3 linked regions of the Drosophila melanogaster genome follow. Changing the gene in region 3 together with the main gene of any one other region gives a genetic interaction. Each region holds a gene or a part of one and is shown on either strand. Other genes may lie near its edges.

Region 1 (11,811 bases), 2.3 Mb from region 3:
CGGAGGCGCAAGTCCAAAACAATAACAAAAACAAGAAGTCGCCGGCGATAACCGTCCATCCAACTTATCAATAGCAGATTTTACCAATACCCTCGGCTATATAATACACGTATTTCTCAGTAGATGATGATAGATCGAATGTTGCCAGGAGGGGCTCAACAGATGTGCCTGAATTTGAGACAAGAGGTTAACGGCGATCTAATGGGATCGTTTGGCAAATAAAAAACAAATTTATTCCACAATATACTCTGGAGCCGACAATAAAAAATATTTGGGCGATACGGGCATTGTCACTGATACGTTAATATACCAATTGATAACTGATAGCTGGTTGAATCTGGATGCTGACGAATTTGCTTTCAAGATCTGCGGGTCTTACCAGCCGGGATTTTCCCGCAAATTCATTTGAAAAAAAGAACCGCGACTTTCTCTAGTTTTGGATTATAGTTAACCGAAACACTTTGAGATACTTTTTGTTTCGAGAAAGTATTGCCTACTTTCAGGTTCGTTACAGATTTCTCTCAATTGCCTGCCATTTGTCAGCAGATCAGTCGTGTCTTTGTTACTCAGGAAGTTAATTAGTGACTAACACACTGACCTTACTTTCTCCATTAAAATGTTAAACAAAGAAAATGATTCTGTCATTGTTTCTCCTAACACGATATGAATTGAACTCATAAATTTAATTATATAACTTCAGGTGAAAACTCGAAATAAATAAAACACTTGAGCTTGCATTAAAGGTAATAACTTTTTTACGATCCCCATGCAATGTTGTTAAATCTTTTCCCCTTGGTGCCACATCAAGGTATTTGAAAAATGTTTTGCAATGGCCAAAAAGCATAAACTGCCAAGCTGGCAGCCAACTTTCGCAACAGGTTAAGGCCAATAGCAAAGTCAAAGCAAAAACTAAAAGCTGCGAACTGCCATTTGCGTAAATATTATGCGAACAAATAGCTTGGAAAATTGGTGAAAAGCAGTTGCCAATTTTCGAAACAGTTCAACAAACTACGATTTAAGTTTGATTTTCTGATTTTCGTACAATTTCAGCAGGGAAAGGGATTTGAAGGATAAAGGACTTACCATTTTGTTTGACTTCTTGGAATTTCTCTCTTAGCTATGGCAACTGAATAATTTTTTATGAACTTGAAATTCACTTTTTAAAAACACTTTTAATTTCAGGACTTGGTATTGCACTTTTTCGACTTTTCACTGGGTAGTTGCCACTTGGATGCGCGTCGCCGAGCTTATGTGCCCGTTTTGGGTATCTTTCACCAATTTATGAAGATCTTGGCCAGCAAACCCCGGTTAACCACTCAAAACGCAATTCGAGTGACAAAAGGCGACGCTGGCAGAGGCATCGCAGCTCGAATGGCATTTTGAGCACATTTTGAGCGCTTTTTGGGGCCGCGAGCCAAACTCAAAGCGGCTTCACTCGCTCCAAATTGGCTTGTTGTTGTTTGCTCAGTTGGCCAGGCCCGAAATTTATGCTACCACCACTACCACCACCGCCATGTCGATCCGAGGTTGAGCGGCCAGATATATTTCAATACATTTCTCCCCCAATCCAACTATTAATTATGGAGTCGTGCCGTTTTTTTTTTCTTCTTTCTCGGTCGATCTTCTTTCTTGTTTGTTTTTCTGGCCAAGAGAAATGGCCGGGAGCCTTTTGTCATAGCCAGTGGATGGAATTCTCTAGCTCCATTTTGGCCTGGGGTCAAAATGATGAAAGGCTTTATCATCAAATCGCTTGGAAACGCACACGAATTGTGTGTCAAGTACTTGTTGCCAATATTTGTTCAGCTCAAAACACTTGGCCTAAAACCACTTTGATAAATTAAAGTGGTAAATTTTCATACAACCATTTAATGAAAATTTAAACATTTTATATTCCTGGACTAAAAATATAGTTTTAACTTTACATATCTCTTTAAAGTATAACATTTGTGAGCGTATTTCTAGGATGTCATCTACTTTGACCGAGACATAATAAGCAAATTTACATATGCGATTAGTTCGTGGCTTTCTAACCAGGTTTATTCAACTTTGAACTATTCTTTTCGCATACCTGGCCCACTATGTAAATCATTTGCATATTCCCAAAACAATTTTATACGAACATTCATCTTTGTTTGCGTGTTTTCGCCTTGAATAATGCAGCTAATAACATATTCAATGACCGATCGGGAATTGAAAACAATATTTTGGTATTTGTCAACCACAAAAATGGGAATTCTCAGATCAGAATAATATTTTCGCCTATAAATGAGTGCTCTTATCAGCAGAAACACGTTTCGTACAAACAAACAAAGCTTAAAGGCTGCGACTTGTAAATTGGCGGAAATACATTTGTTCCCGTACTTAAGCACTTTTATTATAACAATTTTCAATAGTAAATTCACACTTTTATTATTACAATTTTCAATAGTAAATTCACATTTTTCTTATGCCTAATTTTCACATCAATTTCATTTGAATGATTCACAATTTGCTTAACGACTAGATAGAATAAAAGCATTGAAGTACACACATTTTTGGTATAGACATTGAACTATAAATGCTGCAGAAAATTAAAGCCACAATAAGCTGAATTTCATATTTAAGATATTTTGCTTTGAAGATAAAACTTGACCAATTTTGTGGAACCTAATCCTCGTCGCTATCGGACATGTCAAATTCTTCATCATCAAAATCGATAATCTGTGCAAAAATATGAATAATTTTTAAATATCTCCATTAGATTAAACACAGGAAACAAACAAACCTCGCTGTTTAACCGCTTGAATTCGGAGATTCCCGTCAAATCCTCCAGAAACTTGGCTGTTTCAAAAGTTTTAAACAGGAAAGCATGACCCTCTTTTTTATATTCATTTAGGACGGCCTGTAAGCGAATATATTAAAAAAAAAATTTTAACAATATTGAAAACGCTATCAAAACCATTTTAAAAGATTGTCAAATCTTACCGCTGAACAGGCTATGCACTGAGCAAACTTTTGAGTGGCGGGCAGAATATTCTCGTAGTTGCACAGCATTCCACGGATGGAGTGAGGCAAAATTCCTAGCAGACCCTCCGGCACCTTTTCTTCCGTCTCCTCCGACCTGCCACGCCCACTCTGTGCATAGTAGGCGGGTGCCAGCTCCTTACGAGGATGCTGCAGCAAAGCCACCAACAATTCCACCGCATAGCTGGCCGCAATGTTGGATACTCCGGGTCGTGTCACTGTGCACTGTTGATCCAAAGTTCGGTCTTTGAGCGACTGAAAATGGAATAGAACGAAATGCAATGAGTATCTGTATCCAAATTTGTACGTACAACTTTATAAAGCGAGTCTATAAGAGATTTTTTTATACAGAGTTTTTTTCAGTGTGATTTGGAGCACATTCGACGCCGGTGCAGTAGTACGATCAAGAGCTTTTGAAAGCTTTTCTGTGTCCACAAACACATGCTCCGAGCAAACAAAGATGACGCCTTCGGGCGAGAACAAAACAAATAGCAGCGCTTAAAAACCAAAAACACAAGATATAGAAAACTTCGGCGTTTGTATCGGTTACTTGAGCAACCCGCCGCTCCGCCCATCACTGATTAGATAAAGTTTTAACATTTGGGAGAGCCGGAGAACTCCGGACTCTCCCACGGAACTATAAAACACATTTTGCGCTTGATTGTTCAGTACAAAGGCGATAGTTAGTTGAATTGGTAATTGCAGGAAGGAATCATGTTGACCGAATTCGCTGGCAATCTATCGCATCCGCTGGAGTTTGGTCATGTTCTGGAGGTCGTGGCCAAGACCATCGATGGAGCAGCCAGGTAAGTGTTGTCCGGCATTAATGTAAGACCGCTTTTCCGTTTTCTGACTAATTACTTGTCAAATTGGGCTTCTTATCAGTACGTGACTAATCGATTGTGATCATTTGGTTCGGATAGGTTCCACATTAACCTCTGCACGGCCAAGAGCACGGTCGATCCGAACGCAGATATTGGGCTACGCTTCTCATGCTATTTTCGGAACGATGTGATCGTTCGAAATTCCCGGATAAACGGCGCCTGGGGCGAGGAGGAGTCCCATGTCATGGACCCCAACACCCTGCCCAATCCCATCGTCAGTGGCGAGTTCTTTTTGGTCTACATTCTTTGTTGCGAGGACAGCTTTGCCATCTCGATAAATAGCCGAGAGTTCTGCAGATTCCGCTACCGCATGCCGTTGGGAACGATTCGTGCTCTGGAGATCCGTGATCAGATCCAAGTCATTAAACAGGTGGATCATCGTACTGTGTTTCCAAATCCGTGGCCAGCCGTTCACGCCTCGGACTACTTTAAGGCGTTCAGTAACGATCAGCCAATTTTGTTTAGTCCGGGCCATGTGATTGTCCTTACAGCTCGGTGTTTCGAGAATAAAAAGGGACAGTTCATAATCAAGTTCATGGACTCGGATACCAAGCGCGAAGAGCTACACTTCAGTGTGCGTTTCGATGAGAAGGCAGTAGTGCGCAATTCCATGAACAAAAATTTTGAGTAAGTTAACTTTATAATGCCGTACCTCTTTGGGCGTTAACTAATTCTTTTTATAGATTCGGAAGCGAGGAGCGTCATGGAGGTTTCCCCTTCGTCTTTAACCAGCAATTCAAGCTGGCGCTTGCGTTTACGGAACGCGAGGTTTTGACTGCAGTGGACGGTTATAACTTCTTCAGCTACACCTGGCGCACACCTAATGCCATGATGAATCTAGTGGGTTTCAAGGTGACCAGCATAAATGGCCTGGTAGTGCAGATAACTGGTGTGGATCACCTGCAGACGGGGGATCCTACGTGCGCTGGCTTCGAAAAATATTCCCGCCATGATTACGAATGCGTTTAGTAACCATGTTAACCCAACTAATGAAGTCTGAAAATACAAATGTTATCTTAAACTATACAACAAATGGGACTTACATTTCCAGGGGCCGTAACATCGTTACAAAAGTAGCAACCTAATTGATCGCCATTAATGCACTTAAGTCCTTCGATTTCTTGGCCATCGTCGCCTGCTTCCTTACGCGTAGTGCCATGTCGCATTACCAGATAACTGTCAAAGCCTAAAGCTGCGTTGATGACAATCTATAAGGGAAACATTTTAGGTACATCTCTTCTGAAAGGTGAGTATATGATTGTTCCCACTTTTTCCTTTGCCGCTCCAAGCAGGGTGGGCAGCCAGCGGCTTTCGCGCGAATCTGTGAGCAGAAAGATGACATCATGGTCCTGCACAAGCTTTTCGATAACCTTCAAATGCTCCTTCGTCTGGGCTAGAAGCGATTCTCCAATAGTATGCCCAGGCATGGGAATCTCCAGCACATAACCCGCCGTTTCCGCAGACGGATTGATCTCTTTCAATCTCTGAGCAGCTGTAGTCGCCTTCATCCGATTGCCTGCCACAGCATCTGCATGCGTGTAGAGATTCTGACGCACTGGATTAGAGAACCCAACCTTGCCGCTGTCCAAAAGGGTTATGTGCTTAAATCCCCAGGACTACAAAATAAATAAACTATTAGTTATCAGATCAGTTAAATCATTTCGTATAAAAGCACACCAGCAGATTTCTAGCTACAGCGCATCCTAAAGTACCAGCTCCAAAGAGCAGGCATTTTGTTTGGGAGATGATTTCGAGATTGAGATCGGGAACAAGGCGCCACTTCATTAGTTTCAGGTTCAGGTTTACAGAGTTCTCAGCGAGTCTACGGAAAGAAATATTGTTAAATTATAAATAATAAACAAGTTACTTTCAACTGTCGTGGTAGCTAACACTAAGGACACACCTCAATGAACTGATAGTTCTTATCATTTAAGTCTATAGCTATTAACTTACTTGGCTGGATCCATGCTGTCCCTCATGCACACCATTCTTGGCCCCATTTTGCCATTTTTATTTAGCTCCCAGCCCACGAACTTTATATTTTCGCTTTGGCTAAGATCGCAAGCTTCAGTCTGAATCACCTTCCATACAAGGCTGTCATCGATGTTCATTTGTTGATTGTGTCGCAGGCCAAGAAACTTCAATGGTTTTCCAACAAAAGAGGGACTGTAATAGACCGACAACTGTGTGAACTGATATCATAACATTGCTATTCCTACCTACCATTGCTGAAGCAGAAAGGCAGCATAGTTTCGCATTATCCAAGCTGGATGCTCATACTCGCTGGGATCAGCAAAACCAAAATAACAGAACTCAACATTTTTATCGTCAAGGGAACTTAAACTACGGGCTTCGAAAATGTTCTTCTCCACATTAGCATACAGAATGAAGAAGTTCTGTGACTCAGTGGGTAAGGCCTTTAGAGCCATTATATAGCTACTACTATTGGGCAAGTCCCGCAGTTTTTGGACGGCTCCCTGAAGCTTTAAGGTGGGCGTCAGCGGGCACGGAAAGGCGAACCAATAGTAGTAGCTGTGACACTTTAAATCGGCAAAGGAGAGAACAAAGAACCGGGTCAATAGACTGGGATCTCTCAAGGCGCCACCACTGCACATATCAGCCAGCAGTTCCTTGCCCTCATCGGCCAGCAGTTGTAATTTGTCCAGGGCCTTGAACTCTTCGATTGTGTTCTTATTGTAGATGGTGCCTATAGCGGAATGGCTGAATTTTGGAGGCTTTGCCATTCTGGAATGTGGGTGGTCAAGCGCTGGTTTCATCAAACTCGTAGTTTTCAAGCTCACCTGTTGTAGGCCGTGTAGTCTACTTCCAAAAGGCATCCACTTGCATTACGATTTGTGTAGTGTCCAGTAATGGAGCGTTTCGAGTCGGACAGGCGATCGTGGTCGAGCTTAAGCTCCGCTAGCTTGTGCCAGAAAGTGGGCGACACAAAAGATTCCCACGGAGCAAATTGCAAAATTATCTCTTTTTCCGTGCTCATGTTTTGCTTAGGGCGTTGTTTACGTTCAAACGTTTGGCTGCAAATTATAAACAAACAAAGCTCTCGATGGCGATAGACCAATGAGAAGATAACTTATCGATAAGTACAGTTTTCCATACTTAGGTCGAATCCTCTGTTGCTTTGGCAAACTAAAAGATATACTTTAACTTCATAATTTTTTAAGCTTGAAGAATAAAATAAAAATTTTAAGACACAATAAAACTATAATAATTTTAAGAGTAGAATATAGCTTATTGTCAAGTTACACTGTAGTTCTTGGAAGTGAGATTGTCAGCCGCACTGCTATATGGTCACACCAGCACTTCCACTGCTGACGAAGATTGACCAAAACAGAGACTGAAAGTGATCCAAATAAATTGAAGATGGATTTACAGCAGCTGGAGGAGCAGGCTCGCCAGGCAGCGCTCAAGGACATACAGAACATGTTGCAGCGACCAGGTCAACTGGAGAAGGTGGAACAATATCGCCACCGAATCGCCCGGAAGAAGGCATCCGTTGAGGCGCTCCTTAAGACCGGAATGCAAGGACAGCTGGACGGGGTCAGGGTGGGACTTAAGCAGTTGGAGACCTGCATGCAGGACGTGCGCGAGGTAAGGCGTCGAATGGACGAGGTGGAGCGCCTGCTGAGGGGCGTTCCCGAAGTCTACGACGCTTTGGAAGTTGTGCGGGAGGAAAACACAAAGCACTCCCAGTACGCCACCGCCATGGAGAATCTGAAGCACATCTTCAACGTAGATGCCAGCGTACAAAAGACGATGGCGCTGATCGAGGATGATAAGCTGCTTAATGCCCATCAGTGCCTGGCGGATCTGGAGAATTCGCGGGATGATCTTCTCTACGAACTGCACAAGCAGCCCAAGCAGCATGCGTCCGACAAGATCACCCTAAAGCGTCACTTCGAGAAGGTTGACACGGTATCCCAAGAGCTGGAGAAAAAGCTGCGACTCATTCTTAGCCGCACGCTGAACACTCTGCGCAAGAAGCCCACCATCATCGTTACCGCCCTACGCATCATAGAGCGGGAAGAGAAAAACGACCAGTTCGCGTTGCAGCAGCAAAAGGTCACAGGATTCCTGCCGCCTGGAAGACCAAAGGCTTGGCGCCGCATGATCATGGACGTGCTACAACAGTCGGTGATAACGCGCATAGAGGGATCCAAGCTAGAGGAGCGGGCCGATAACAAGATGTGGTTAGTACGAGACCTGGAGATATTGCGTCAAATCATTCTCGAGGATCTGCGCGTTGTGAAGTCCCTTTGTGTGCCCTGCTTCCCGCCGCACTACGACATTTTCGGCGAATATGTCAAGTTCTATCACGAAGGACTTTCTAGCTATGTGAGTAATCGTCAATCATTTAAATTGATTAATGTTTTTATACCACTAATATTTACTAATTCCAGCTTGACAACATTGTGCGCTCGGGCTTGGAGGGCAATGAATATGTATCAATGATGGCTTGGGTTACACACACCTATCCTGGCGTCGAGCTGATGTCCCATCCGGATCTTAATGTGGATGTACACCGACAGATAGGTACTCTGCTGCGTCCGGAACATCTCAAAGCGCTGGAAGATGAATATCTGCAAAATATGCAGAGAAACTTCCAGGAATGGATGACCAAGGCCGCAGAAACGGAGAAGCAGGAGTGGTTTACTGAGACGGTGCCCGATCAGGATGAGGAGTACTACCACACTTCAGCGCCTGTCATCATATTCCAGATGATCGACCAGCATCTGCAGGTGACCAACACAATTCATCAGGAACTGACGTTCAAGGCGTTGGTAATGAGCATTCAGCAGGTGGAGATCTTTGGCCAGACATATCTTAAGAACGTAATCGAGCTGAAGGAACACCATTTTCGCAATCGGGACCAGATCAAATACTTCACTCACTACATCATCACCATCGTGAATAACAGTCAGCAAATGGTTGAACTGGCGCAGCAGATGAAACAACTCTACTGGCCCAAGTCACGTACTGAGCATTATGAGGATTTCGAACGTTTGCTTGCCACATTCCAGCGGATCCGGGCTCATGCCGCAAGTTACTTGCTGGAGGAAGCCTTCCTGGACATGGAGTGTCACTTTAACGACCTATTCACTGCCAAGTGGCTGGCCAGTAACATTGCCGTGGACACCATTTGTGTAACGCTGGACGATTACTTCCAGGACTATAATCACCTGCGACCCAATAACTTCGAGATGGTCATCAACGAGGCCCAGAAGCTGCTGGCCAAGCGCTACATTAGGGCACTGCTATCCAAGCGACTGTCTAAGCCACGGGCCGAGTGCGATGCCATTACGCGAAAAATCAAGACCGAAGCCAAGCGGTTTAAGCTCTTCTTTGAGAAAATCGCGCCGAAGATTTCCCTCAGCGACTCTCCATTGGATCTTATATCCACGCTATCGGCACTGCTTAGCTCGGATATCGAACTGCTCGTCTTGGACCTGCACACCTTGCTGGGCAGCTATCCGTCTCTGAACGAGGACCACCTGGTACGGCTCTTTTACATTCGCAACGATGTGAAGGCGGCCGAGGTGCGCGAGAAGGTGCAGGATGCCATGAAGTCGAAGAAGGCAATGGTCAGCATCGCCAAGCAGGATTGCATCTTCAAGGAGATCGTGTTCAGCGACAAACTGTGGTAGACCTTGGAGTATAGTTCCCAACCCATTCCGCATGTCCCTTTCTGTTCAGTATCGTATTTACTCTTAAGCTGCGATTGTAATATTATTGTGCTTTATCAACAAATAAATTATTGTATAAATAATCGAAGAAGTTCTAAGGAAAGTAAGAATATCCATCGTTTCAATGCATATATGTATCGTTACTTTTGAAGGGTTCCGTTTTCTAGCCGTTTAATAGCTAGAGCTCCATCACTGTCGGCGAATGTAGTGTTGTAACGGTCGAAATATTTAATTACCGGCTAGGCGATAACATCTGGCAGGAGTATATATATTCGCGACGGTCTCTCTCCACGTGTCAGTCAGTTCCCAACGATCCTCCTACCCAGACAAGATGAGCTACAGAGTCCAGCCGAGCGGCTTCGCCACCAAGTCCATCCACTCGGGCCAGAGCCCCGACCAGTGGAAGAGTGCTGCCGTGATTCCGCCGATATCGCTGAGCACCACCTTCAAGCAAGATGCACCGGGCGAGCACAGGGGCTATGAGTACTCCCGCAGTGGAAATCCCACTAGGAACGTGCTGGAGACGTGCTTCGCCGCCTTGGATAATGCCAAATACGGCCTCACGTTCTCATCGGGATTGGGAGCCACCACCGCTGTGCTAACTATGCTGAGCAGCGGCGATCACATCATCATGGGCGACGATGTTTACGGAGGCACCAACCGTTTGATCCGACAGGTTGCCACCCGTCTGGGAATCTCAGCCACCTTTGTGGATCCCACGAAGTTGGATCTAATTAAAAGTTCCATCAAGCCGGAGACCAAGTTGGTGTGGATCGAGTCACCAACTAATCCATTGGTAAAGGTAGCCGACATCGAGGCTATTGCGCAGCTGGTCCATGGAGTACGCGAGGATATCGTCCTGGCCGTCGACAACACCTTCCTGACCTCCTACTTCCAGCGACCCTTGGAGCTGGGCGCTGATCTGGTCTGCTACTCCCTGACCAAGTACATGAACGGTCATACGGATGTGGTCATGGGTGGCATCACCATGAACTCGGAGAAGCTCTACAAAAGCTTGAAGTTCCTGCAGAACGCAGTGGGCATTGTGCCGTCTCCATTCGACTGCTATCAGGTGAACAGAAGTCTTAAGACGCTCTCGCTGCGCATGGAACAGCACCAGAAGAATGCTCTGAAGGTTGCCAAATACCTGGAGACGAATCCGTTCGTGGAGAAGGTGTTGCATCCCTCTTTGCCCTCCCATCCGCAGCACAAGATCGCTCTGAAGCAGGCATACGGATACAGCGGCGTGTTCTCCTTCTACATTAAGGGCGAGCTGAAGCACTCCTCGGCTTTCCTCAAGGCCCTCAAGGTGTTCACCCTGGCAGAGAGTCTGGGTGGCTACGAGAGTCTGGCCGAGCTTCCATCAATAATGACCCATGCCTCGGTTCCAGCGGAGGATAGGAAAACTTTGGGCATCACTGACGGTCTAGTTCGCTTGTCCGTCGGACTGGAGGATGCCGATGATTTGATCAAGGATCTGGAGCAGGCCCTTGAAATTGCATCGAAGGCCTAAGTTACTCGCATCACATGTATTTTTTTTATTTTTCGCAGGAATTTGTTTAACCGAAAGCTTATGAATTTGTATATTAATCACCCCAATAAAAGTGTTTTGTCTCAAATGAAAGATATTTATAAACACTTGCTTATAAACATACGTTTGTAAACATATAGACTTTCTGGATAGATCGAATAGATATTACAGATTGTGGCGAACTGATAAGATGTGGTAAATAAAGCTTTGTGTTATTGCTGGTTTTTTTTTCACAATTATTGTTGATATAGTGATCAGATACTGAAAATTGTTGATGTCTTGATAGGTTTATATACGATCGCAGCTGCATTACCTCCACGACCCCCCATAGAAACAGCCTTGGGAGACCCAAATATACCCATTGTCATGTCGATTACCATACGCAAACAATGAATCAGCATGTTTAAATTCGCACCATCATTTAATCATTCTAAGTCGCGATAGAAGAAAATTATATCTCTTGAACGGATGTTCCGATTTGTTTTTACAAAAGTTCGTTTGCCTTTTAGATTAGAGCAGAGTTTAGTTAAATCATGCATTATTTAAGTAACGAACAAAAAAAATCAAGTTAGGAGTTCTTATCAGTGCTGCTCTTATCAGTATCATTACATTCATATGGTATTTCATATGCTTTCTTTCGAACCTTATTGCAAGTTCATAAATATGGTCTGATTTCGATTGTGTTGCTTTA
Region 2 (10,341 bases), on a different chromosome or scaffold from region 3:
AGGCCGTGGACAATGGGAAAGGCGGTGGTGGCAGCGGCTGCGAGTGCGGCGAGTCCGGCAGCTCGTCCTGCGTGTCGTAGTCCATCTTGGGCGAGCAGGCCTCGTAGGCGGGCAAGCCCAGCTCTGCGGAGGCAGCTCCACTGCTCTCCTTATCGATCCGATACTTCATGCTCTCCTCGTGCTCGTGCTCATGCTCAGGCTCGTGATCCTCGTCCTCGCAGGGTGGCAGCGACATGAGCGGAGTCGGCGCGGCCTCTAGCACATTGCTGGGCTGGCACAAATTGGTTGGTTCCTCGGGCGTTGGCGAATCGTTGAGCATTTTCTGGTCTGTACAGCGGCACTGGCGATTCAGCACATAGTTGTCCAGGCCGACATCGTAGACTGCAATAAATAATTATGGATTGTAGTTAGTAGATAGTATAATTTGAAATTGCATATTTCATGTCTTATCTTATCTAACATAAAAAACGCGGTTTCTTTCTCTTAAAAAGTATTCTATTTCTTAGCAATAGTTAAAGTACACATTAACAGTTTTATATTTTGCACTTTGATCTCGATTTAGTAGTCGTAGGTGTTCGTTGCCGTGGTGGTCTCGTCCAGCGGCACGAACATGTCCATTTTTTCGTAGTCCTGCGGCGTTATGTGCTTGTGGCTGGTCCACATGGCATACGCCTTCTGGTCGGTAGCTGTCAGGGGCTTGAAGTTCTTCGGATCGGTCGTTTCCGACATGCTGAGCTTGGAGTTGTAGCGTGTGTACATGAAGATGCGGTACCGCCAGGCGTCAAAGGTCTGCTTCCAGTCCTCTACGTTCTTTACGGCGCCTTGGGGAACACTATTCAGCATGTGGGCCAATTTTGCCCACAATGGTTCAGTGAGGCCATCGTGCCGGCGGTGGTTTGATAGCATGCATGGATTGTCCTCGAAAAACTTAACGTACAGCTCCTTTTGGTCCTTGGACATGCGTTCGCCGCGTTCTTTAAGAGAATTATTAAGGATTTAGTTCGGATTTCAGACTTTTGCAAGCACTTCTCTCACTTCTAAAGCGACTCATCAGACCCGGTGTGTAAGGCGACTGTTGGGAGGTATTTGGTGCATTCATCGACGGCAAAGGATGCGTGTAGCTGGGGAAGATCTGCTGACCGGGCAGCAACTGCTGCTGGTGCTGTTGCTGCTGGGCTTGGTGCTGTTCCTGGCGCGCTAGGAATCTGGAGGCCCGCTGCAGACGTTCCACCTCCGATTCGGACTCCGACTTGGGTATAATATCCATGGGGTCAATGGCCTGGGTCATCGATTCCGGCGTCCGTTCCGAGTAAGCCTGCCCCAGGCGCAGTTTGTGGGAACTATCCGTGCGTTCCGGCACCGAGTTGTTGCCCTGCTGGTCCAGTGGCGAGTCCACCGCCTCAGAACTCATACGTAGGGCCGGAGAGGTGGGCTGGGAGTCAGGCACATATTCATGGGCGTGGTGCGAGGCGCTTTCGTTTGACCGCTGCGGCAGAGGCACGTGGTGCTGGTGCTGATGAGGGTGGTGCTTCAGGACCGCCATCGAGCATGAGGGCTCGTAGGAGAGCATCTCCTTGGCGTGGCCATCGTCCAGAGCTGCAAGAGGGAGCATTTTACAATTTGGGTTTTATTACAGATGGCAATCGCAGAGACTTACAAGCGAAGCGCACGCATCGTCTACATAAACACAACTGATCTACAAACAAGACTTGACTGTGAAACTCCGGAACTCCGCGAAATCGCGACTTTTGGTGGCCCGCAGTCACTCGAACGCTTAAACGCTAATTGAAACGCGACTTAGCCGTAACTTAAACGCTATTTACCTTGACTGATCTCTATAACGAAGTTGGTGAGGTCGTGCCTCTGGGCCAGATAGTGCAGCAGCAGTTCGTCCGGGATGTTGAAGCCGATCTTCTTGTTCCGGAACTCGAAGTTGTAGATCCCGAAGGCGGCGCGCACTGTGGAGCGGGATTTGTTAGACATATTTCATTTTTGGCGACCAAATCGCTTGGGGGCTCCGTGATTTGAGCCACCTCCCCCTCTCCGACCAGACCAGTGCTTACCCACGTTCTTTAGGTCCCATATGTTTAGGTCGCGGTTCTCCTGCGGCACCCCGATCATCAGCAGCTTCTTCGTGTCGCGAAACTGAAACGGAATTATGATTCCCGATCGCAGCACCATTTTCAAAGCGCCCACACACGCGATTTATAAAAATTTTCACAAATTTCTCAAGTCCGCTTTGTGCTTGTCCTCCGTAATTGTTTTGGTCTCCGTTTATTGTCGTTCGTAAACAGCGAACTAGTTTCGAGCTCCCCGAAGTCTGGCCACACATCTGCAGTTCCGCGAATCGGAGCGGAATACGCGGCTTATAAGATTTCCTCGAAAAATATTATTTTCTCCCTTAATTTAACGCTTTATCTAAATTACGAAATCTATGCATGTGCAAATTCAATTTTTTTTTAATATATAATCTTAAATGCCAAGCAAGAACTAGTTCCAAAGACGGCTGAACAAAAATAAAAACTCTCGCCTGGTCACACAGTAAAGCTGATTTCATAGGGGGAAAAGCAAAGCAATAGGATTTCGAGTAATCCCGTCCATATGTATTGGAGTTATCCACCTACTGAGCATGCATAGGTTCTTCCAGGTTGTTTCCAGCACTTGATCCGATACAAGAGTTAGCTGCCCGCCTTCACAATGCTCGAGAACTGTCAGCGTCACCACATGCTCCTTGGACTAGGAGCCCTAACGATGGTCACCATACTCGTCCTGTTCGTGGAATCTCGTTACGCGGCAGATGGTCCTCGTCGCCGAGAGCCGCAATTCGTGATCGAGGACAACTCGACCTGCTGGCGGAATGAGAAGTACACGATGGTGCAGGAGTGCCACCCGTGCTCCGAATTCGATATAGTCAGCCGGAGCTTGGGCGTCTGCATTCACACGCACTACAAGGAGGTGCTGCGCTGCCAGAGCGGCGAGATCGTAACCAGGAGCTGCGACCGGGTGGCGCTCATCGAGCAAATGAACTTCTTGAAATTTGAGGTCTCGTGCTTTGTAATCGGATTACTTAGCTACCTGGTCAGTTATGCCCGCGATCGAGTCCTGTCCAGGCGCAACTACATGAGAATCGAGCGACAGCTAAACCGGGTCCAATAGCCCTCCGCCAAATCATCGATTCCCTTCCCCAAGTGATACTCATTGACCGTACGGAAGGTACATTATTTAATTTAGTTTAAGTACATACACTCTGGAAATACCATGTTAAAATTCATTTGCTAATACTAGGGGGTTTAATATATTGCATACTTGTGGAATGCTTGTTTTCAGGGGACAAACACAATTCGGCGTTAATAATATGCATAACATTTTGCTTCGGTAATAACAATCGCTCCTGTACTTCTGGCATCGTTTCTGACATCGTTTCAGATTCTACTGCCTGTTGTTCATATTCGTAGAAAATATCGATTAACTAATCCATTAGTTAGCAACCGCGTTTGATTTGATTTAAAACAGGCTTAAAGATTCAAATGCCTGGAATGTGTGAAATTCTTCGTTATCGTAACACCCTAGTTCCGCCAGTCGGGAATCAGGTCGGGCTCAGCTCCCATGGAGGCACTAGGCGGCATGGCGGGCGGAGCAACTGTGGGCAAGGCTGGAGGCGATGGCTGGGCGTCCAAGGTCTCTTCGCTGGTGGTGCTCGCATTGCTGCAAGCCTTCAGTGAGTTGTCCGTCATGGGCAGTGGTTTGGCCACACCAATGCGCACCACTCCTTTCGAAGCACCCTTCAAAGCCTGCACTGCCTGATCCAGCGAGGCGTTCTCCAGGTTAATGGAGTTCACAAACAAAAGTCGATCTCCGGGTATAAGGCGTCCGTCCAATTGAGCCACCCCTCCAGGGACCAGAGAACGGATTACAATCAGCGTATCGTTGGGATCCAACGGATCTTGATAATCCAGAATAGAGAAGCCCAGACCGCGATCGCCCTTGACCAGCTCGATAATTTGCGGTTGGGACGACCACATAGCCAATCCGGTTAGTGGCTCCAGGGAGCGCGACTTCAGCTTACTAAACGAAGCAGCGGCGGCAGCCACTGAATCTCCATCGGCCACGGAGCCCGCGGTGGCCAGACTACCATCTGATTTGGCCTTCACCAGACGATCGGTAGCAGGCAGCAGGTTCTCAAAGTTGTTGCTTAGCTTTTTCAGGGTGTCATCAGAGAATGGGAGAAGCGAGCTGTTCCTGTTGCGACCGCAAACCATGCGCACATCCAACGGCAGTTCCTTAAGTATAGCCACCACCTCCAGGTGGTTCATACCCAGCAACCGCTCGCCGTTTACCTCCAGCAATTCATCGCCAGAGCGGAGTACTCCATTCACGCCAACGGGTCCATCAGGTAAGATTGAACGAATATAGTGATGGGGTCGTACCTCGCGCCCTCCTTCTACGTCCACGGTTCCCTCCAAGGAAATCCCCAAGCCTCCGACCGCGAACTTCTTGATCTGGGCCACAATCACCTCCACATCGGAGCCCACAATCTTCTGCCATTTGCGAATAATTTCGGTTTCGGCGTCGTCGGACAGTTCCGGATCGGTGTAGTACTTGTGACGGGTGATCACCCCGCTGTTCTTGGCCTAAAACATGTTAATGCGCTATACGTTTTGCTGCTGTGTTACCCGTTAGCTAATACTCACCTCCGTTTTATCCGCCAAGGGTACAACTTCCGTGGGTATGATCTTCGTGGAGCCGTCTAGGGAGTCCCTTACTGCTACTAGTTGCTTACCCGCTCCAAAGGAGCTTAATGTGGTGGTGGTCATTGTGGTGACCGACGGCGGAGTGGTCATGAATGCTTCTGGCGCTGGTAAGGCTTCCTCTTCCAACTCGCGAGTGATGCTGCGTGATGGTGTAGTTGTGGCGGAGGACGTTGTGGCCACGGGCGTGGGCATGGGAGCCCTTGAAGGCGTTCCAGGTGCACTGGATGGAAGCTTGTCATTCGCAGCGATAGCCTGCTGCAGCTGCTCGAATTTGGGGCCCCTCAGGTAGCGTTCCAAGCGCAGGTTCACCACCTGACCAGACTTCTTAAGCAGCTCTACGGCCTGGTGGTTGGAGTAGCCTTGTAGCGACTGGCCGTCAACTTCAATGATGCGATCGTTGACCCGGATGCGACCACTCAGGTCCGCTGCTGAACCGGGCGACACGCTCTTTACGAAAATGCCAGACAGCTCTTCTTTCTCACACACATAGCCGGCAATTGTGATGCCCAGGCCGTTGGCATCCTTCTTCAGCTCCACCTGAAGCTTCTCCGTTTCAGGAAGGGCAAGCAATTCCTCTAGGTCGATGTTTGGATCAATAAGCATTGATGTCTCGCCGCGATAAACGAAACGATCGTCTTCCGTGGTGGTCTGCGGAGTGGAGGCCGTGGAGCTCTCGCCAAAGATTTCCGGATAGCCGGTAGATATGAGGTACCGCTCCAGCTCGGCAGGATCGACGAGGACGCGCGTGGGCACCACAGCAGTGCCCGGTTCCAGGGCGTACTGGGGCGTAGGCACGCTCTGCTCAACGGGACGGGCAACCACTAGGCGGACGTGGGTTCCAGACTGTCTCAGCACGGCAGCCACCTGTTCGGATACCATTTCGTGCAGGTTGACGTCTCCAATCTGGAGGATGTGGTCGCCCGAGCGCAAGCGTCCGTCCTTATCGGCCACGCCACCCGGCAGGATGGTTTTTACAATCACTCCCGAGTTGCGAGCTCCAATAATACCGAATCCGAGACCCGTGCCGTCGTTGACCAGCTCTATGGCCTGGATCTGAGCGTAGTCCGTGGCGTAGAGATCCGCCACTCCGGCTCCTTTGGAGTTCTGGCTCTGCGGGCGCGGCTCCTCGCCGACGCCTCCGGACTTATCTGGACTGCCCGGAGCCGAATGGGAGTGCGAGGAAGAGCGCTGTTCGTCAAAGTCGTACATCACCTCGCCACCATTCAGACTGAGTACAAGGTTGCCGGCCACATCGATGTCGAAGTCGTTGGGCAACATGGACGGATGCTGAGCCAGCTGGGCGTTCAGCTCGGACAACGAGTCCTGCACGTGGACGATGGTGCGGAAAACGGGATCCTGCAGAATGCCCAGAATGGTGCTAAGGCTCTCGGCCGTCTGCATTTGCAGCTTGGGGTCGTCGGACTCATCGATGCCCTTCTTCACTGCCTCGATCTGCTGAAGGGCGCTGGAAATATCCGCGCTGAGGTGCATCTTGCGTCAGTGGGCGTGGTCAGCGAGCGGTGCGCGGTGCGGTCAGTGGAGCGTGGTCCCCGTCTCTATCCCACTTCCGCTGGCGTTTCTATGGACTTCTGGGTGGGGGCGTTGTGGCGTTGGCACACTTTGTCCTAAACTGCAAAACGGGTAATTCGATTTGGGCTCTAAGTGGGACAGCTTCGGATCAGTTACTGTGCCGTTTGGATGCAGCGAGTTGTTTACCCTCTCCTATGCACTCTTTTCGGTGGCCACTTGCTCTGCTGCTGCTGCTGTAATTGATTTTTAATTATCTCTGAAATGGAATGCCAAATGCATTTTCTTTTCACAAACAGCTGATGGACAGGGTTGCCGAGCGGCTGCGTTGTGCATCGATAAGCAATCGACATAATCGGAACAGTTGCCACCTTTTCAAAATCAATTCAAATTCGACCGTTACATCTGCTAATTTAATTAAATCTAAGATTTTTGAATATAGTCTGCATGTGCTCGTATGTAATATGGCTATACGAAATAACCCAACAACATCTATCCTTTTAAACGCAAATTTTGAATTTAATTTCTCTGTACGCACAAATATCTGTGTTCCAAATACGGAAAAACAATAAGGTGTCTGCCATCAAACCATGTTACGTTCCTCCTCCTCCTCCAATTCTATTTCGAGCTTGCGGAATTCGCGGAAGAATTCGCGAGTGATATGCTTCATATGTGGAGTCAAGTACTTGGGAAAGATATCTGCAGAAGAAACAGAGAAACTATCAGAAACTATTGAAACCTCCAACAGAAAAGGAAAACCCACAATCAAATTCTATAATGAGATCCCCGAACTGCTCCACCTTCTTGTTGGCCTCCTTGATGGCCGTAACTGCATCCAAATTGCGGCACTTGGGGAGTCCCTCGAGGGGAACCACTTTGGTGTATCCCGGCTGCACTACGTCCGTAATGACCACCTTCAACTGGCGCCGGTCCAGCGTGCAAATGAAGAACGTGAAGCCGGTGAAGGCCTGGCACAGGCCAATAGACTGCCTGTAGACCAGGTCGTGTTGGTTTCTCCTCTCAAAGTCCGGATGCGGCTTGTCGGCGGCAATGAAAATAATATCACCCGGAATGGTGGCCGGATAGCGATCGCCCTCCTCCTTGAAGCAGAAGCGAGTTCCGGCCGTAGTTCCCGGGGCAATGTTCAGCTTTAAGGTGTGCTTGCGCTTCTCCAGCCGCGACTCCTTGGCGTCCACGATCTCCTGGCGCCACACGTTCATCAGCTTGACGCAGCCAGTGCGTACTTCCTCCAGCGACAGCTCGATGATCCTCTCCGTACTGGCGTCCTTGGAACGCACGCCAATGCCATGCTGGCGCGTAGCGTACAAGCTCGGTGGATTGGAGATCGCATCGATCACGTTGGCATACGGCGAGTAGCTACCGAAGACCCGCTCGTAGACCTTCATGTGGTCGCCGTCGTACTGATAGGGCGGAAAGTATCCGTTCGGCAGCATGACGCCCTCGAACAAACCCGCCTCGCCAAAGCGATCGTATATGGCCCGGTACAGATCGTTGCCCAGCACATCGAAGGCCATGTTGACGTAGGCCCACTGCCTGGGCTCGCCCATGGGTGAGAGGTGCGTGAGACGACCCTCCTGGGCCAGCGGCACAAAGTCCTGCTCGTCCTTCTTGTCGCGATGTGGGCAAAGCCGAATGGCCAGGCGGCGGTAGGCCAGAGTAATCTGCTCCTTGGTGGCGCCTCTGGGCTGATCCAGCACCGCGTAGTAGTCCAGCTCCGGCCGGTTCATTGTTTCTATTCGGAGTCGAAGCGTATAACAACTGGCAGAAGTGTTCACAGAATGTTTGACGTGTGACTGAGAATTTATTCAAATTATATACAATAACTCAACTGACGCAGGATCTGGCTATGGATGAAATATGCTTGTGGACAAATACATTAAGATTAGAGCTATGGTGTAGATGGAAACGTGGCGGCGATCAGTCAACGTCCTCGGTGCTGACGCCAGTGTAGATGGGCTCCTCCTTGGCTGCACTCTCTGATTTGGCATCGTCGGTCTTCTCCTCGCCACCGGCGACGTCATCCGAGTCATCTTCCTCCTTCTTGTCACCCTCCAAGTCAGCGGCATTGGGCACCCAGAGACCAGAGTCCACACAACGCTTCATGTGCAGCTTGGCGACGTCCACGGGCATGGCCGCAATGGTCTTCTGCAGCAGCTCTACGTCGCGGGACTCGAAACAGGCCTTTAGTTCCTGCGGAGCAAATACATGAAAAGTTAGTCAAGTAATTCCCATACAGTGAATCACTAGAACGTACATCGGGCAGGGATTCAAAGACATCGGCTGGGTCCAGACCACCAGGTCCGAGGCGCTCCTTGCGCTCCTCCTCTTCGGCCTGGGCTATCGCCTCCTGGATCTTCTCCTGCGCACGCTTCTGGATACGTCCTTTGAAACCTTCGATCTCGCTGTCGAACTGCGCGCGGTACTCGGGATGACAGTGCTGGATCTTTGAGAAGAAGGAGCTGACACAGGCGCGAGGATCCACGTCCAGCTGTTTGGCCAACTCTAGAATGTACTGCATGCAAATGCACTGATGCGCCACGTGGGCCATCAGCTCGTGCTTCTCCTCCATTTCCAGGTTGATGGACCAAATGACTAGGTAGTTGGCCGTCTCCTCGCCCACCAAGTGAAGATGCTCCTGCAGAAACCGCTTCGAATCGTCGTACTTGCGCAGCATGCCATACTGCTGGCAGAGCTTCTCGTTCTCCTTGACGAATTGCTTCATGCGCTGCTCTCGCTCTTCCTCGGACAGATTCTCATCCGGCTTGCGGCCGGCCTTCTTGTTGATTACGGTCTTCTCAAAGCCGGGCTTGCTGATGGTGTCCACGTTCCAGGGTGTTTTCTTTTCCTTCTTAATCATCTCGCTCTCGATGCGGTCCAGCTCTTTGCCCTCGGCCTCGATCTTTTCGAGCTCTTTCTGTAGGCGATACAAATTAGGGATTAAGCATTGCGATGAAAGATGGATGGCCACTTAGGATGATAGTCAATCATAAGCTTGACAATAAGAATAAATTAGATGGATTGAGAACATAGGGAACTCCCAGACCAGGCATTAGCCTAAGCAACAAGTGCGCAGTGCATTCGGTGCAATGACCCACCTTCAGGGCCTCCTCGTCGCCATCCTTCTTTGAGATCCGCTCCTTGACGTCCATGAGGCGCGCCTGGTAGCTCTGGCGCTTTTTCTTAAGCTCGTCCTTCTCGTGGTCCATCTCCGCCATGCGCTCCACGCGCGCCTGGTGCCGCCAGCGGAACAGAGAAGGCGTGTCTATGTTTGGGTGAGTGTCGTCCTCATCATCCGAAATCTAAAAGGTAGTGTGCCGATTAGGAGGACTTTTTGGGTTGGCACCCAGCAGTGGGCTCACCTCGATGTTCTTCCACTTGCTGTAGTCCACCATTTTGCTGTTTCTTTGCTTCGGATTTATATTTGAATGTAAATGCTGCAGGTTTTTGTTCTTTTTCGGCTGCTTCCTTTTTTTGGATTGCTCTGGAAATTAGTGTGACCGCAGGGCTATTGCGGAATAATACCATAATAAGCCCCGCTTACTCTGGGGCCGCGCTAGGAAATAGTAGTCATGCATGAGTGCACCAGATTGAATTGAAATACCCTGTCGTTTTTAATTTATTTACATCATCTACTACTACTCATCTACATCTACTAGAAAAATAATGAGATGACTAAGGCGCCAAAGCGACCAGAAAGAGAACTATGTTTATAATCGATTGACATCGATAGAAATCGCGATATTGATGTCAATGTTCTGCGCCAATCGGCCGACATATTGAAAAAAACTGCGGTCCCGTGAAATAGAGGCGCTCCGTGAAAATTACGAATAACTACTGCAAATCAATAGTTAAATTAACAAAGTAACTGTGAACAAATAGATTGCCATCAAAGTGTAAGTTTCTACATAGTTTTCGTCCGTAGCTCACTGTTAGTTGGGTTCAAAATGCAATTGAAATTCGGTGTGCGTGCAAAGTGAAAATTTTTCGGGTCAACGCCACACCCTCGAAGGCAACACAAAAATCCAATTAACGGGGCTAAAGT
Region 3 (10,121 bases):
CCATACAGTTTGGGCCCCTTTTTACCAACGAGATAAATTTCTATACGGAAATTCTGCCAGAGTTTCAGAAGTTCACCGATGGCAAGTTTGCCGCACCCAAGTACTATTACGGCGAGTTGAACCAGCATTCGGCTGTGGCCATTCTGGAGAATTTCGCGGAGCAGGGATGGCGGGTCACCAAGGATCGTGTGGGTCTGAGTCTGCAGCACGCCATGATTGCCGTGAGTTACCTGGGAAGGTTCCATGGCTTTGCGTACGCCATGAAGCACAAGAACCCGGAAAAGTTTGCCCAGCTGACTGACAATCTGAAGGAATCTCGCTATGCCAACGATAACATTCATCCGGAATGGAAGCTCACCATGAAAACGAGCATCGATCGAGCGGCCAAGGCGGTGGCCACCTATCAGCCACAGATCGACGAGGAGTTTGTTAAGAAGTTCTGTTTCATGATCTCGGACTATTCGCAATACGGTAGGCAACGGGTGGCGCCCAGGGAGCCACTGGCCACCCTGTGCCACGGCGATTATGTGAGGAATAATGTGGCGTACAGGTACGATGACAAGGAGGAGCCGCAGGAGATCATGATGTTCGACTACCAGACATTGCGAGTCTCCTCTCCCATGGTCGATCTCAACGTCTTTCTAGCCGTGTCCATTTTTGCCGAGGTACGCGATCCAAACTTCGAGGCCATCTTCTGTGAATACACCTTGGCGCTTCATAATAGCTATAGGGAGCACGCCAAGGAGGAGGTTCCGGATTTCCTAAGGTGAGTTGTTATTATTATTCATTATTCATAAGCTTTTAAAATTTCAAACAAGCGATATGAATGCAAATCAAAAATCTAAAAATACTCATTAGGTGCTCGATGTGATAAGATAAGATAATCCTGTAAAGCTTTTTACTGCCAAGAAATAATATAATACTAATTACGCTATTTCTTAGTCGCGGTGAGCTTCTGAAGGAGTACGTGCGTTTCCTGCCGTACAGCTTATCCATATCGGCCAGTTTCCTCATGAGTTTGGTGGATCCCTTGGACATCTCGCCCGAGGAGATGTTCGCCTTGCAACTGTCTGACGAGGAAATCATCGAACGGACCATGAATCGAGGTGGAGAAGTTGTGGACAGGGAGGTTGCTCACCAGGTTAAGGAAATGCTGGAGCTGAGCCAGGCGACAGGGGTGTCCATTGATGACGGCATTGATCTTGACAAGTTGCCCAAGGAGTAATCAATTGATAGCCTAATGTAAAAGTATTCAGGCATTTCAGGTATAGCGTAACTGTAGATAATAAAATAGATGTTAAAGTGACATGCATTACCTATTTAGAGTTTAATACACTGTTTAACCGTGACTAGGAATTTTTAACAGTGGTGGGGGAATCGTAAATTGTGGGCTACTTAAGATTTATAATCTTATCATTGCGTTTTTTTCAAATGTTTATTTTTATAACTGTTGCTTTTGTTTTGATCGCACAACGCCGCAGCTGATTGTGTTTTTGCTGAACTGCCAACCTGTTGTAGTTCTGCGTTAACCAGCACTGTCACACATGTGAGAGTGAAATATGAAAATGGTTCAACCTTCGCGGCAGCAAATTTTGCGTTTATACAAGCATTTAATTCGTTACGGCAATCACCTAAAGCTGACCGACAAGAACTACTTTCTGGGAAGAGTTCGCCACGAGTTTCGGGACAACCGTTCCCTTACGAATCCCGTGGAAGTGGAATTCAGCTTTAAGGTAAGTGCCACTTTCGTATTTCATAACTGATTTACAAAATGAACTTATATTTCAGCGCGGAGAGACCCTGCTAAAGAAGGGACGCATTCTGTAGGAATGCTGCGAGGTCTGGTGCGATTCCTGGCGCTGCCTCCGACCGCTGTGCGCTGCAAGTCCAATCTGGACTACTCCCGCTTTCCCGTGCTTCAGGAGTCGGATATCGAGGAGACCTTCATGCGCGGCAGTGGTCCTGGTGGCCAGGCTGTCAACAAGACATCCAACTGCGTGTTCTTGCGCCATCTACCCACCAATATAACGGTCAAGTGTCACACACATCGTCTAGCATCAAAGAATCGAGTGGAGGCTCGTAAACTTCTACTGGAAAAACTGGACGTGCATCTAAACGGAGAGCATTCAATTGCCGCGCAAGTCAAGGCACAAGAGCAGAGAAAGTCCACTGAGCGGCGGCGGCGACAGGAAAAGCTGCAAGAAATGAAGAAAAGCTGGCAGGATAGAGAGCGCACAGATGGGGGAACCAAATCTACCGATAAAGAGTGATAACTTTTACTTCTAAAACGGTCTTTTAAATATTTATTTTTGGAAAACAATGGGTTACCAACTGGAGAAATCTCCAAAACCATTCGCCAGTTTCTTCTTCTTGGCTGCTTGAGCGGATGTAAGTGGCGCCTCTGGCTTTTTGGCCACTGTCTGAAGTTTCAGGTACTTGCCTACGCCCTCTCTGTACACCTTCAGTGGCTCCTTCATGCGCTTTTGCTGCTCCTCCTTCTTGACAATCTCCTCCTTGCCGGCCGCCTCCTCCTCGCGCTCCTTGGCCAACTGTTCGGCTGCCTCGGCAAATGGATTCACAAAGACCTGTGAGGACTCAATGATGATGTCCTCAATTGGTCTGTCCTTGTTATCCACCTCGATATTTTCCATCTTTTGAAGAGTGTCTAATCCTCCGACAAGCTTTCCAAAGATGGTGTGTTTGCCGTCGAGATGTTTGCAAGAGCGATAGGTGATAAAGCTACGAAACAGCGTATACTTGCAAAAGCATTGAAAAAATGTCACTTTGTGGTACTTACAACTGAGAGCCATTGGTGTTGGGTCCCGAATTGGCCATTGATAGCACTCCTCGGCCCGTGTGCGTAAGATTCGGCTTAAACTCGTCCTCAAACTTCTTGCCCCAAATGGACTCGCCACCAGAACCACTTCCAGTGGGATCACCACCTTGCACCTGTGGATAAAACCATAGTAAATTAAAGTTTCTCTCAAAAGAGATCGTACTTACAATAAAATTCCTTATGGACCGGTGAAACATAACATTATTGTAGTAACCATTGGCGCAATGCTTGATGAAGTTATCGCAGGCTCGAGGAGTTTGATCGCAGAAGAGCTCCAGGTTGAGAGGGCCAAGGTTCGTATTTAAACGAACGTAGCCCTTCTTTTTTACCCGCTCGTACTTGACCAAATCATCATCTATGATAGCCGCCTCTATTTGGGAAACGGGCACCATGGCGGTAGACGTAAAACTGGCCGCCACCGCTCCAGTTGAATAGTGAGCTGCGTTGAACTTGTCAGCTGTACGCTTCGAAGTGGAGGCCTCCTCTTCCGCTGGCTGATAGTCCTGCTGCAGCTGTTCCAGCGTCTCCTTGGTCTCCAGATTCATGGTCTTAATGCGGCCGCTGGCTGGATTCTTTCTCTCTTGCTGCTCTTCTTCCGTCAGGACTCGTAGATTCTTCTTAATATGATAGAAGGTCGAGATGTCGTACTTTTCCAGCTTCTGAGGATCTTGTATTGTGATGATATCCTTACGCTGGAATGGCGTGTCATCCACCAGATCCTTCCAGTTCTTTGTCTTAATGTTCAGCTGGTCGATTGCCTCCCAGCAGTATACATTTCCAGTTGTGGCCACCGCCACGATGTGCGAGTTCTTGCTGAAGGGCTTGAACAAGGCGGGGCAGTGGTACTCATCGTTTGCATTCCTGTGGAAGTTCAGCTTCACCAATGACTTGGAGTCCATCTTCTGCCCGGTGATGGGGTTCACCTTAAAGGTCTTGAGAAACTTAAGAATGGCCTCGTACTCGAACACATTGCCCTGTAGATCGCAGTAGGGCATCTCGTAGGGCGCCATCGTAATGCAGCAGTGCTCGAATGGCAGCCGCTTGAACTTGACATGGTCGTTCTCCAAGGATTCCACTTTTTTGCCGCCATACAGCTCACTCCACTCCGTGTACGTGAGGTACCTGTTAAAGCAATGGGTAGTCTTCATTTCCATAACTCGCTGGATGTGCTAAATACTTACATTTTGTCCTTTTGATGCTGCCTTTTACCCATCTTGGCTGTTTGTTTTTTTAAATTAAATTTGCAATAAAGTAAGAGCTACAAATAGTTTGTTTACAAATGCGGGAGAGAACTGCCAACTCTGTGCAGATTTATGTTGATGGATATCTAGGCTGTTCACACTTCGGGTACCATAAACAAAAGTATCGAGTATTTCAAAAAGTTAAAAACGAATATAAAAACAAATAACAAGAAAAATGCAAATTTAATTATTTATAAGTATTAATTTTATAAGATACCTTTGATTCTCCAATGTGTGTTATTTAGAGATGCCCTGGCAGTGTGAACACTGCACATTGGGCGCTGCAAGAGGTTCGCCTTACTTATTCATTACCCAGTATTTTGACGTTGGCCAACACTTCTCTTAGGAGAGTCAGCTGTTTGCTGAGAAGGTTCAGCAGAATCAAACAACAAAGAATTTTCCAACTTATACTATACAGCGATATAAATAGTCAGAACGGTTGACCTTGACGTTGGGCGATGTCTAGCCCACATATCAACTACCGCTCCCTGGCCGAGGAGGCGGCCAGTCCGTTCCTGGAGCACCATCCCTCCACAGGCCAAGGCCCATCCAAAACACAAGACGCAAAAGCGAACGCAGCTGCTGCGCATTTAGACCCCCTCGGTGAACACGGGCTGGAGCAGCCGCTGGATGAGCACGACACCGAGCATGAGGGCGAGGACACGCCTCGAAACAGTGGCGTCATGATCCACATGGTTCCGGAGACGGGGCGTGCGCGGTGGAACCACATCGAGGACCTTGACTCGTTCTTCTCGCGAATGTATCAGTACCAGCAGAAGCACGGATTCACAGTGATTGTAGTGGACGAAATGCTACAGGTTCTGGAGTTTGGTTTCGTCGTCTGGCTACTTGCCTTTGTGATGCACTGCGTCCGATTTGACGTGCTCTTTGGGGACACCCCTCCAGGGGGACTTAACCCCAACAAGACAACTTTATCCGATGTGATGTACCCCACAGGCGAGTGCTTAGCCAACTTCACTTGGGTCACGTACCTGGTTGTGTTCATAGCCGCTATCTATTTGGGCATAAGGCTTCTGAAAATGGTGTACCATATTACCCAGTACGCCGATATAAAGAGATTCTACAACTCTGCGCTTCATATCGAGGATTCGGATCTGGACAACTTTACGTGGCACGAGGTGCAACAGCGGATTCGTCGCGTCCAGGCCGAACAGCATATGTGCATCGACAAGGAGTCGCTTACGGAATTGGACATCTATCACCGAGTTCTGCGCTTCAAGAACTACCTAGTGGCACTGATGAACAAGCAACTGCTGCCTGTAAGGTTCCACATACCGCTGTATGGCGAAGTGGTCTCGCTGAGTAGAGGTATGTTGTTCAACATTGACTTCATCTTGTTTCGCGGCCCTGGATCTCCCTTCCAGAACAATTGGCAGCTGCGTGATGAGTTTGCGGTAAGAAGCAATCAAACGGAGCTGGCGCAGCGACTCTCCAAACTGATATTGGGGGTGGCGTTGTTAAATTTGGTCCTAGCGCCTGTGATCTTCGTATGGCAACTTATCTACTTCAGTTTCTCCTATGCGAACATTCTTCGTAAGGAGCCTGGTGCCCTTGGCCTGCGTACATGGTCCAATTACGGCCGCCTCTACCTGCGCCACTTTAATGAACTGGACCACGAACTAGATGCCAGGCTGAATCGGGCATATGACTACGCGGACCGCTATCTCAACTCCTTTTCCTCGCCACTGGCCGCTGTGATAGCCAAAAACCTACTCTTTATCAGTGGAGGACTACTACTTCTAATCCTTGCATTGGGCATTTACGAGGAACACGTCTTCCAGGTGGAGCATTTGCTTGCCATCCTTGCAGGGCTCGGCGCCATAGGTGTGGTCTGCAGAACTCTAATACCGGATGAGAATCTCGTTTGGTGCCCAGAGCAGCTAATGACCGCCATTCTGGCGCACGTTCACTACCTGCCCTCCGAGTGGCGGCAGCAGGCGCACACGACAAAGGTTCGCCAGGAGTTTAGCAACTTCTTTCAGTTTAAGGCTGGCTACCTACTCAGCGAAATCTTCAGTCCCTTCGTCACACCCTTCGTGCTGATCTTTGTGTTCAGGCCAAAGGCCATAGAGCTGGTGCGTTTCTTCAGGACGTTCACCGTATCCGTGCGAGGAGTGGGCAACGTATGCTCCTTTGCCCAGATGGATGTTCGCAAGCATGGCAATCCCGACTGGCAGTTAACCAGCGAACTGGAGGAGATGACCCGGGCTACAGCTCAACAGCCGCAGCAGGAGCCACAGCAGCAAAGTTTGGCCGGCGGCAAAACGGAGATGTCGCTTCTTCGCTTCACCCTGAACAATCCCGAGTGGCAGATGCCCAAGGAGGCCAAGCAGTTCCTGCGCGGCGTTAGAGAGCACGCCGTTGGTGAACTAGTCCAGGCCAAGACGTCGATGGTGCAGGAGAACCCGCTGACCAACAGCCTCATCTCATTTGGCACCATGGGAGCGGATTATTGTTCCATTGCGAACTCTGTGCTGACCGCACAGGTGACGCCCCAGCAACTGGAGATTTCGCAGTCGTTGCGTCCGGGTCTAGGACCGGTATCTGGAGGATTCCCCGTCGCAGCCAGCGACTTCCGCCAGATGTTGCAGCAGAATCTGTCCGCCAGTGTCGGCCCGCTGGACAGCATGCGCCGATTGCGCCTCAGCCGGGCTGAAGGCCGCTTGGAGGGTCCGACGGATACACTGCTCTACGGACTCTGTGGTGTGGACCCGCGCGTGGGCAGCACTCCCTTGAATGTGGGCGTGGCCGACATGTGCCTCAGTGCCCTCTATTTGCACGAGCTGAACCAGCAGAAGCGCCAAGCGCGCCAGTCTCGCATCGACGAGGCCGAGGACGAGCGTCCTGGTACGAGCCATTGGCCACCGCGACCACCAGCTGCTCCGTCGGCTGATACTGGCTTCGGCTCCCGCCATACCGTGATTACCTCAAAGGCTGCCGAGAGCACGCCGCTTTTGGGTAGCATCCGCTCATAGCAGCGGCCAGAGTGGATCTAACCACCTGTAGAGCTAAGGACCACCCATTCTGCTATTAGTGATTAACCTAAATTTTAAAGTGTAAACGAACGAACGACGTCGTCTAGTGCGTAGCTAAACTAATCTGAAACTAAGCTAAACTAAACGAGAAGCAATAAACATAAATGCATTATCAAATTGATCAGCTTTATTATTTCAAAGGAAATTTCGCTAGATAATAACTAAATCTATTAGTGTGTAGTAGTTGTGATTACCCATTACCCATATTTACATATATATATATGTATAAACTATTTACCTGGTTTGATTATAATGGCTTGTAAATCCTAAGCATTATCCGTTGTGTATCCTGTGTACAACAACTGAAAGGAGACACCATAAAAAAAATCCATTTTCATTGTGAAGATTATATTTAATGTCTTTACGGCTTATCCCGATCTTAGCTCTCCGGGATGTGGGAATGCCAGCTCCATCAGCACTGATGGATGGTCCCCATTTGTAGGCATTGTTGGCACACCACATCCACCTGGTCCAGAGATCCAGATGCGAGTGGCTGAGGAGAACGCATCCAGCTGTGCTGCAGCGCCTCGTGTGTCACTTGCCACACACGAACGCCATTTGGCGATTGGTGTTGATGGCCAATGCGGCGAGCAGAGACCAAAGACTGGAGGAGATCGGGGCGCACAGAGTGGACCGACCAAGTGCGTGCCTATGAATCTCCCAAGCCGGCAGACACCGATACAGATGCAGATACCGCCGATCCCCGCCAGCTGTGGCAACATTTATGAATTATGTGCGTGCTGCATGGAGCTGGAGCTGTAGCTGTAGCTCTAGCTGGAATCTGCGGCTAGATCGCTGGAGAGCCTTTGGATCACGTTGTCTCATTTTTCCGCTGCACGCCAATTTTGGGGGGGAGCATTGGCCAACATTACACGAATGTACGAGCTGCTAGACGGCCACTTGCCCGTTTTGGATGCATCCTCCGACTCTCGCAGTGCGATGGACGTTGGAGATGCAGTTGCAGTTGCATGTAGTACTAATTGTAGAGCCCGCGATATCCGATCCGGCAGAGAGAAAAAATGTATTATCATTTTAAAAGAATATTGAAATAGTTTAACCATAAGTTCGACAATTGATAAGATAATAGATTCGTTAATATATATAGATAGATAGATAGAGAGATAGATAGATAGATAGATAGATAGATAGATAGATAGATAGATAGATAGATAGAGAGATAGATAGATATATAGATAGATAGATAGATAGATAGATAGATAGATAGATAGATAGATATATAGATAGATAGATAGATAGATAGATAGATAGATAGATAGATAGATAGATAGATAGATAGATAGATAGATAGATAGATAGATAGATAGATAGATAGATATATAGATAGATATATAGATAGATAGATAGAGAGAGAGAAAGATAGATAGATAGATAGATAGATGGATAAATAGATAGATAGATAGATTCCTATGTATGATGGTGGTAAACTTATACTTACACCCATATCATACACTATATGATGTTTTTATCAATCAATTGTCATCCTTATAACGTTATATGCCTTTGTTATTTGGCTACATTACACAAATGTTCAATAAATTTAATTATACTATGCAATTTTCAACTAATGCTAATAGATTTTCCTCGGTGTAGATAAACGCATTGGAGTGGGGCGACGCTTATGGCTCAAATGGAAACATTTCGCGAGCCTTGTCAAACAATCGAATTTAATTTATGATTTCCTGCGCCAATCGAGTAATGACACTGCATGTGGTAGACCCCGGCGGACCCCGAATCTCTGAATATCTGTTGATCACTCGATACGCAATTTGGTCACAGCAGGGCCAGAAAAATTGGTAACGAAATATCAGAATTGGAATGGCCAAGAGGGAATGGTAATGCGAATGGATATGGATATGGATTGGATATGATCGTGCGGCGACGGGAGCCACTTGCATATGCGGCTGGCTGTCTGGGATTCTGATGGCCGTGGACCACCGCGTAGCGTTCGGCCAGCAGAACCAGTTCAAGATCAGGCGTCACTTTGCGCCGCTGACTGCCACTGACAGTTGGATAAGGTTTCGACTGCGATGTGGAGCTGGAGTTGGAACAGCGCGCTCTGTGAGCTCCGAACTCCAGACTTTAGACTCCAGATCGCAGCTGCCATTCCGCAATTAGAGCTTTTCCTGCAACTGTTGCTGCTGCACGTCGGCTGCTATCAAACGTGTCTCAATGTCTCCGGCAGCGACTAATGATGATGGTTTCATGTCCTCCGTCCTCCAACCCTACCCGCCGATCTCCTACAGATTCGAGTGTGAAGCATCAGCGTCCCCTTTGATTGACAACTGATCAGCGTTTTGGAGCAACGTTTCCCACTTTTGGTGCACGCACGTTCTACCCATGATAACTTATCGGTTTTTTTTTTTTCATAATTAAAAAACCGGCTTGCGATGGCTCCTTACAAATAGCCATCGCGACTGGAGGATCTCATTGGCTTGGGATCGGTTCAAATGGTTTAGTTGCAGCATCGGCATCAGCACTGGATTTGCATTGCAAATTAGAGTCGCCTCCATTGCTGCTTTCTCCCCCTGATCTTGTAATCGAGCCCCGATTCAATAAAACATTTAAACATTAAACTGCTTTTATGCAAATTGCCGGCATGCGCTTAATTTTGCGATCAGCCAGGGAGTCGGGTTTTTGGACTATGTAGCATCCGCTTGAATTATCTCCACATCGCATGCCTGCAACACCTTACGATCCAGCGATATCGATCCCGCCTCCTCTCGTCCAGGTGTAGATAGTATCTACAGCGGCCACAGATTTTGTGCTGCCTCCGCGGGCAGAGCTCCTCCTCCTAATGGCGGTGGCTAAAATGCTAATCAATAGCCTTATCGCTATTAATCTCGGCTTCGATTTACCTTTTGCCCGACTCTCTGTCGGCTACTTGTTTTTCTAGATGCGATTTGGGGATCCGTCGGTGGATTTGGTGCTGGGGGACAAGGGTATTGATCGCAGCTCGCTATCCATTAA

Evidence for each region.
Region 1: of Atg9 (region 3) and Atg7, changing one suppresses a phenotype caused by changing the other (phenotypic suppression), as found in Drosophila melanogaster (one study listed by BioGRID).
Region 2: of Atg9 (region 3) and Patj, changing one suppresses a phenotype caused by changing the other (phenotypic suppression), as found in Drosophila melanogaster (one study listed by BioGRID).

Annotation. Positions count from the first base shown.
Region 1 is NT_033778.4:18,618,075-18,629,885, forward strand, and holds Atg7 (Autophagy-related 7), read right to left. Parts: upstream 6,971-11,811; 5' UTR 6,886-6,970; coding exon 6,689-6,885; intron 6,633-6,688; coding exon 6,111-6,632; intron 6,054-6,110; coding exon 5,841-6,053; intron 5,710-5,840; coding exon 5,565-5,709; intron 5,504-5,564; coding exon 5,156-5,503; intron 5,096-5,155; coding exon 4,931-5,095; intron 4,913-4,930; exon of another isoform or gene 4,857-4,912; coding exon of another isoform or gene 4,571-4,856; intron 4,515-4,570; coding exon of another isoform or gene 3,927-4,514; intron 3,810-3,926; coding exon of another isoform or gene 3,718-3,809; exon of another isoform or gene 3,467-3,717; intron 3,259-3,466; coding exon 2,965-3,258; intron 2,882-2,964; coding exon 2,765-2,881; intron 2,701-2,764; coding exon 2,647-2,700; 3' UTR 2,392-2,646; downstream 1-2,391. Other genes in the region: CG5335 (uncharacterized protein), read left to right, coding at 3,718-3,809, 3,927-4,514, 4,571-4,856; Sec6 (secretory 6), read left to right, coding at 7,269-8,240, 8,306-9,550; Cth (cystathionine gamma-lyase), read left to right, coding at 9,921-11,102.
Region 2 is NT_037436.4:1,795,050-1,805,390, reverse strand, and holds Patj (patj), read right to left. Parts: upstream 6,589-10,341; 5' UTR 6,468-6,588; exon of another isoform or gene 6,438-6,467; intron 6,410-6,437; exon of another isoform or gene 6,382-6,409; 5' UTR 6,243-6,381; coding exon 4,692-6,242; intron 4,632-4,691; coding exon 3,567-4,631; 3' UTR 3,207-3,566; downstream 1-3,206. Other genes in the region: CG42676 (uncharacterized protein), read right to left, coding at 1-381, 1,824-1,958, 2,064-2,181; JTBR, read left to right, coding at 2,698-3,156; CG12020 (uncharacterized protein), read right to left, coding at 6,862-6,977, 7,042-8,026; Cdc37 (cell division cycle 37), read right to left, coding at 8,217-8,489, 8,554-9,213, 9,395-9,598, 9,659-9,691. UniProt on the Drosophila melanogaster protein: Involved in cell polarity establishment. Probably participates in the assembly, positioning and maintenance of adherens junctions via its interaction with the SAC complex.
Region 3 is NT_033778.4:16,289,986-16,300,106, forward strand, and holds Atg9 (Autophagy-related 9), read left to right. Parts: upstream 1-4,414; 5' UTR 4,415-4,535; coding exon 4,536-7,073; coding exon of another isoform or gene 7,074-7,094; 3' UTR 7,095-7,247; downstream 7,248-10,121. Other genes in the region: JhI-26 (juvenile hormone-inducible protein 26), read left to right, coding at 1-766, 943-1,225; CG42372 (uncharacterized protein), read left to right, coding at 1,566-1,733, 1,789-1,827; CG30100 (uncharacterized protein), read left to right, coding at 1,830-2,270; CG7747 (uncharacterized protein), read right to left, coding at 2,325-2,739, 2,798-2,949, 3,004-3,958, 4,018-4,049.